Linked DNA regions of Ovis aries. The protein of the gene in region 2 interacts with the protein of the main gene of each other region in a pairwise test. Links are inferred from orthologs where the notes say so. Each region holds a gene or a part of one and is shown on either strand. Other genes may lie near its edges.

Region 1 (3,650 bases), on a different chromosome or scaffold from region 2:
ATTCAACCGCGGCTTCCAGAGGTTTTGAAAAAGGAGCCTTTGGGAGCCCAGCCTGCCTGGCATTCTAGTGGAAGTGCAAAAGGTTGGCATGTTGGGAGAGAGAGGGAGCCGCGAGGGGAAAGTGGCATCTAGGTGTCAAGGAGGGGTTTCTGGCCCCTGTGGCTGCAGGGCTGGAGGACTAGGCAGACCTCTGATAAAGCAGCAAGCAGCAGACTAAGGCACCAAGCCCCAAGGCTAGCCTAGACTCTATGGACCTGTATACATGGCTACAGAAGTCAGGAAGAGCTGCTTTGGGGTATTTGAAAGGGAGAACAGTGGAGAGGTGGGAGTTGAAAAATATCTCTTTCCCTTTCCTATCCGGGTGAAAAGGTTGCTTTGGGGTGGGGTAGGGGAATGGGGGGCATTTGGGAATACTAAACACAAGAGTCCTAGGAAAAGCAGGTGTGGATCTCTCCAGCCTAGACTGAGTCTGGCTGGAGGGCAGAAACTACTTGTATTTCAGAACAAAGAATAAGAAAAATCTGCCAAGAGAAAAACAGTGCTGACCCAGGGCTGTCAAGGCAAGTCCTCAGGGTCGTAATGGCTAATAACTGCTGGTGACTGTGATGAGCCACACCCAGCCATTTCAGACAGACCACCTCCTATGGCAGCATTCCCAGTTAAAAACTGGAGCTTAGCTGGTATGAGCCAGTTCCACCCACAACATGATCTGTAAATGCATGGGAAAAGATTCCCAAACGATCTGCCTGCTGAGCGCCATCATTGGGCTCATTACTATAATGCGTTTAATAATAGCGTGATGACGTTATTACTAATGATGATGAGAGCAATAATCCTTGACCCTGTGAGAGCATTCTCCATCTGAGGACCTTTAATTACAAACACTGAATAAGCCTCACAAACAACCCTGCTCAGTAAAGCACTCTTACCCCCCACTTTTCCGATGGGATAGGTGAAGCGGAGTGGCAGGTACTTCAAAGGCACGCACTAGTATCTGAGTCAGAGGACAGAACTACACCTATAGGTCCTGACTCCTAGCTGGCTTGCTCTCCCTTCACATGTGAGAAAACTCTTAATAGCCACTCCTCACAACATGTCTATGACACCCTGCGTTTATTTATGATCTTCAGTCACTGAAGGAGCAACCCTGGCCAGTGATTCTCACTTGTGGACGTCCAGCTCCACTCCCCTGAGTCTCAGGTAGACTGCTGAGCTAACTTCCCCTCTGGCATCCTGCTCCCCTTAGAGTCTACTCTCACACACACACTGTTCTGCTTCCACTTCGACTTCAGCTCTGCACACAAGGAAATGGAGTCATCATTCCTGTAAAGAAGTCAGTTTCCCAGGACAAAGAGAGCAGACTGAAGCTAACAAGTTAAAAAGACATGCAAAAGTGGAGTGAGGGACAGACAGGGAGAAGGGCCTCACTGTTCAGTGAAATTATTTTAGAAACTGCAAGAAAAAGATTACTTTGTCTTTCATTTTAAGACAGTGGTTAGTGAACGAAAGACAAGACAGCCTGTGTGAATACAGCAAGCCCAGGTGGTTCAGCTAGGACTCTGCACAAGGGATCTCTCATCCAGAGCACCCAGCGTGCAGGCAGGCAGAGAACCGCACCAGCAAGAACTGCTATGAGTGGACAGAAGCACTGGGGGAAGACTGGTCTGTCCCTTCTCTTTAAGTCAGCCTCCTGGAAGACCGTATTCCTCTGGACCCGACTAAGGACCTACTTTTGCTGAACTCAGGGACACACCCCACACCCGCCCCTCAATCCCCCACAACACATACTTGATGCTGTCGGTGTGGGTTTTGTATTCCATAATGGTGTTGGGAGGTAGGTTAAGCACTCGCCGAAGCGTATCCCGTATGCGGGCCGTGGTGGCTTGATCGCTGGCAGTCTTATTCCATATGGAAATAATGTCCTCCTACAGGAGGGACGACAGAAGCATTCATCAAAGGAAAGTGAGGCAGTGAGAAGAGCAGAGGTAGCACGCGTGAACGCAGCCCTGCCCGCGAGGCGGCTTACCTGGAAGCGGACAGAGACCACAGCCCCGCAGATCTCCTCCCCAACCATGAACTGCTCCCCCAGCATAGCCAAGATGAGATTCTCCCAGCAGCGGGAGGCCAAGCCCTTCCGCAGTCGGATTATCCACTTTCCGCCATTTTTATTTGCATCATCCTGTAAAAAAAAATGTATTAAAAGTTAACATATGGTCTCGTAGCATTAGGGCCAAGGATCCACGATCACTGAGAAGTCTTGCTGTTTTCCAACTATTCAACTCTATAGGAAAATGTGATAGGACTACAGGCAGAAGAAACAAGAAAAAAGAAACACAAGATGGGGATCCTTGCAACCAGCCATTAAAGAAAAACAGCCAAACAGACCCTTTAAACTAATCCTCTTTTGGGAACTCCCTGGCGGTCTAGTGGTTAAGGCTCAGCACTTTCAGTGCCAGGGTCTGGGTTCAATCCCTGGTCGGGGAACGAAGATCCCGCAAGCCACACAGTGTGGCCAAAACCAACCAACCAACCAACCCTCTTTTTTGAAAACTACATTAAAACGAAATAATGTCAGATTTCAAACACAGATCATTCCTTACTTCATTTGCTAAAAGTTTATCAAGTGTCACCATGTCCCCAAATACAGACATGAAGTCACAATCTCTACTCAGATCCAGTCTAGTGAAGCAGACAGACAAGAAAACTAATTACAGTAGTATAGTCTGACAAGTACTCCTGTAACAGAGATACATACAGGAAGTTTATGAAGAACAAGACAGTCAGAAACAACCAGAAAAAGGAAAACATTTCAGCTGGGTTGTAAGGGACACAGGAGCTAGCCAGGTGAAGGGCTCTGTGGGCACTGGGAAGGACACGGCTATGTGCAAACACTGACTGTGAGGCAGAGACCCAAAGAGGAAGATCTAGCTACACTGAAGGGCGGATCTGGAGAGGACAGGTGACAAGTGCTGAAAGGTCATTAGGTGTAAGATCATGTGTGCAACAGAAAACTGCATAAGATTTTTCATTAAGGTGTGTTTGTGTGTGGCAGGGGCGGGGGTTCCCTGGTGACTTAGATGGTAAAGAATCAGCCTGCAATGCAAGAGACCTGGGTTCGATCCCTGGGTCAAGAAGATCCCCTGAAGGAAGGAATGGCTACCCACTCCAGTATTCTTGCCTGGAGAATCCCTGTGGACAGAGGATCCCGGTGGGCTACAGTCCATGGGGTCGCAAAGAGTCAGACAGGATGGAGTGACTAATGACTAAGCACAGCACCGCACGTGTGTGTGTGATCATGTCTGTCTTCTGGAAGAATGCTCTGGCATCAGAACAGAGAAGACGGACTACAGCAAAGAGATCACAGAGCTCAGCTCTGGGTCTCTGGTGACTGCCCCTAAGCTTATTTTTACACACATTAACCATATGTATCCTACGGTAATATATTACACACACACAAAACCAGTCTATGGGAAGAATAATCCAAAAAAAAAAAAATCCTTCAATGTTGCTATAGCACCATGTTAGTGAGAAAACAATCTTTGAAAACCATCCACACAAACAATGGAATCGGGGCTTTTTCCTAGAGTTCCCATTTCCAAAGATATACCAAACTGCTACGCAGCTTTCAAAGAAGACTTTAGCCAACACCT
Region 2 (3,650 bases):
GTCTGACTTCTCCATGAAGGAAAAACCTAAGGAGCCAAATTAATTTTTTTTCTGTTGAATTTCCCAAATAAGGAAGATGACTAAAGAGCTGGATCCAATTTAGTTCTCCAGAGAAAAAATACAAAACTGTAACATAAACCTATTTATCCAGAAGGGCAGCTGGATAATTACCTTCCACTTGTGTCCTTACCACTCCCTGAAAAAAGCATAACAAATCAGCACATTTCTTTTTAAACTCTTCAAGGGTACCAACGAAAGAGACTTTGCCAGTTTTAGGAGATGGGTATACCGAGGGGAAGGAGAAGGGAAATGACAGATGGACACCTCTGCACAAGAGCATTTACCAATCGGTGACGGTATTCTGGGACGAAGGTAGTCTGCAGAGGCCGCTCTCGTCTGAAACACCTGTGACAACGGAGGAGAGGGTGCTCTCTGGCCCAGTAATGATGTCGTAGGCTCCAAGCTCCCCATAAGGCCACTCAGGAGATTGGAAGAAGCAGGTCTCTGAACAGGTGGGCCCAGAAGTTCCTAAAGGCAGAAAAGTCAAATCCTGTGAGCAAACCTAGTTCTTCTTCCTACTCAGAGGCTGTGGATTATGAATTTGGAAGCCAGTGATGAGTCTCCCTCCTGCTTCACTGAAGGACTTGGCACATGTACATGCAACGACTTCCTCTGAACGCTCAGCTACCAACATTTGCTTCAAGTTAGTGCTACAGATATGGGTTAGATACTTTAAATTTCCATAGAAATTGCAAACCTGCAAACGGGAAACCAAGGCTTTACGCGATCATCTTTTTTAGCCACCAACCCACCCCACATTTATAGCTACAGAGAGCTATGTCAGGCAGCAAAACTGTATCCTTCGTTGCTAGGCAACACGGATCAGTCTCTACGGCCCAAAGCTGGCCCACTACACAAAACCAGTTTGGAGGACTACTGTTCAGGACTCCAAGGCCTTGGTATAAGATTGTGAAGTACCTGCAAGATGTTCTTAGGGACAGGCTGGCCTGGAATCTCAGCAGGGGACATCAAATGGCTTTCAAGGGTTCGCTAAAAAAGTCAAAGGAAAACTGGTTTTAACCTTCTCACATACTTAGCTTATAGATTAATTGGGGACCACAAGAAAACACTGACAACTCCCCAGGGAGTTGGCACTTAACAGCAGAATGATGTCCAAATCACAGAAAACTTAGATCAACTTGCCCCACTTGTCACACAGGTCTCAGTGACCTCGGAACAGGAAGGCTTCTCACACGTACATGCAAAGGCCACTCAGAGACCCTCAGACAAGGTTTTTTCCTCTCTGGTAACCCTAAGTCCATTTCACTGTTTCTAACATTGCGTCCAAAAGAAGGGAAAAAGAAAATGGCGAAACGGGGGGAACACTTGTTTAGTAAGAGGCCACAGGTAGGAAATTTTGATAATTTACAGATTTTAATGTTCACAGCAACCTTTGCTTGCTATTATCTTTAACAAGATTTACAGATCATAGATGGTACCAAAAAAATGCGAGTTCGGCCAAAATCGTTATATTTCAGAGTTTCATATTTTAGGAAATTTAAACTTTATTATTTTTAAGCAGCTATTCCAAAGTGGGTCTCCTATTCAGGATGAAATTAAAATCTTCCACTTTCGATTCTTTTAATGCAGTAGCAGTTATACTTTGCATCCAACTTATATTACCTCTGGTGCTTCAGGACACCCTTGTGTGTCCATTTAGCTCTGGCTGAAGTGCTTTCTCTGTCAAGTTTCCCTTCCACCAGCGGGAACTGCGAAGGTCCACAGCAGTGTCCTCGGGCATGACAAATAGCCCCCAAGTATGCAAGTGTTTCATTGTTGATTTTGGAATTGGAATGGACTGTAAATGATTTTAATAAGATCTCCTCAAGAGTCATTTAATTCCAACTAACAAAAACAAAGACACAACTTTATACTAGGTGGCTTGCTATATTTGGAGGATAGAGTCTACAACTTAATTTGAAATACAGCTTAGACTGAACCAATATGTCTTCTTTTGGGGATAAACAACATGACTGAACCAGAATGGCTGGAGGCAGATCAGAAAGAGTATACGTAACGCACACAGCTGTAGTCACTGAGAGCCTGGAAGCAGCCTGTGACAAACACCAACATGCAAATTAAGCAGTATTTTGGGATAACGCCTGGTGTACTTCATAGATTATTTCCTTGTTTTTTTTTTTTTCCTAGATTGGGTTTGTATTCCCCTTTGCCTAGCACCTTAAATTATATCATCCACTCCTTTATGCACCTGTTTGAGGCTCATTCCCTCAGCTGAAGCCAGATATATTTCAGAGCACTGAACCCCCAACATCAAGCAAGTTATCTTCACAGCTCAGGGACAACTGTGTTAATATCAAACCCTAGAATCACATCTAAAACAAAATGTTCAAAAGCCTCATCGGGTAAACAGTCGAACCCACCCCCACCCCCACTCCCATTTCTTAACTAACACTAAAAGAAGCTATTTATAAGATTTGACCCACCCTGCTGTAGTCAGCACCTAATCCCCAAGACACAAAGGCAATAAGCAGCAGAGGACTGTTTACAGCCAAGCGATCTGGTCCTCATTTGAAAGCATTTACACCTAATAGTTCCTTGCATGGAAATTATTTAAAGCAGCTTACAAGGAACATTCCCCTGTAACTGGCATGGTGTGGTCAGATACACAAGAATAACTCTACCTATCTGAGATGTCTCCTTCTGGAGGTAGAGAGGCAGGTAGGTAGGCCAGGAACAATGGTATCTCTGTTAGGATTGATCACTAACAGCTAGTCAGATTCAAAATAGCAAAAATCAGCTGTTCTCCCTTGGTACACGGCACAATGAAACACATGCTTCCCCCATGGTTAACCAGTAGTTCCCAGACAAGAAGGTGTCAAGAAAAACAGGCAAAACTCAATTTGGTAAATTTGAGATAACTTAGCAACTAGAGTAAGTCTGTGTTTTTTTTTCAAATTAATATTATTCGATTTACTGTTTCCCTTTCACTCTGTAATCATCAAGGGTTAGCAATAGTAACACACACCATGCCTGAGAGGCACCCTCTAAATGTGTTATGGGGAAGACCGGTATGGGCTACACACCTGCATTTACTGACATACAATCACCTTGTAACCCAACTTAATGCCTAAAGGTGTTTTATAAGTTTGGAGTCACAGCTTTTTCTATTAGTAAATAAACAGAATGCAATTGTCTTGAAAAATCCATCTTAGATACTTTACAAATGCCATGAATATCTGTCAAATACCTAATCAAGAAGGCAAATAATCCCAGGTATCTGGGAGTAATTAGTAGTAGTGAAAAGACTTTACTATAAAAATATGGTAAAATTATTTTAACTTAAGTAGCTGAATAAGGGCTTCCCTGGGGGCTCAATGGTGAAGAATCCTCCATCGCAGGAGATGCAGGTTCCATCCCTCGGTAGGGACGATCCCCTGGAGAAGGAATGGCAACCTACTCCAGTATTCTTGCTGGGAGATTCCATGGACAAAGGAGCTGGCGGACTACAGTTCACGGGGTTGCAAGAGTCAGACACAACTTAGCGACTGAACAACAACAAACAGCTGAATGAACAGAAAACTTTCTCCAGAGTTCTTCCCCAAAGGCATTTTTACACCATTTTTTTTAAG

What was found. The genes of interacting proteins can lie anywhere in the genome.
Region 1: the proteins of EIF4ENIF1 (region 2) and EIF4E2 interact in binary tests that used the Homo sapiens proteins (3 or more experiments, as listed by UniProt). The two-hybrid records come from large-scale screens. The link is inferred for Ovis aries from reciprocal best matches to the Homo sapiens genes EIF4ENIF1 and EIF4E2.

What each region holds. Positions count from the first base shown.
Region 1 is NC_056055.1:234,174,326-234,177,975, reverse strand, and holds part of EIF4E2 (eukaryotic translation initiation factor 4E type 2), read right to left. Parts: intron 2,180-3,650; coding exon 2,027-2,179; intron 1,926-2,026; coding exon 1,789-1,925; intron 65-1,788; coding exon of another isoform or gene 1-64. UniProt on the Homo sapiens protein: Recognizes and binds the 7-methylguanosine-containing mRNA cap during an early step in the initiation. Acts as a repressor of translation initiation.
Region 2 is NC_056070.1:70,102,747-70,106,396, forward strand, and holds part of EIF4ENIF1 (eukaryotic translation initiation factor 4E transporter), read right to left. Parts: intron 1,051-3,650; coding exon 979-1,050; intron 529-978; coding exon 345-528; intron 1-344. UniProt on the Homo sapiens protein: EIF4E-binding protein that regulates translation and stability of mRNAs in processing bodies (P-bodies). Plays a key role in P-bodies to coordinate the storage of translationally inactive mRNAs in the cytoplasm and prevent their degradation.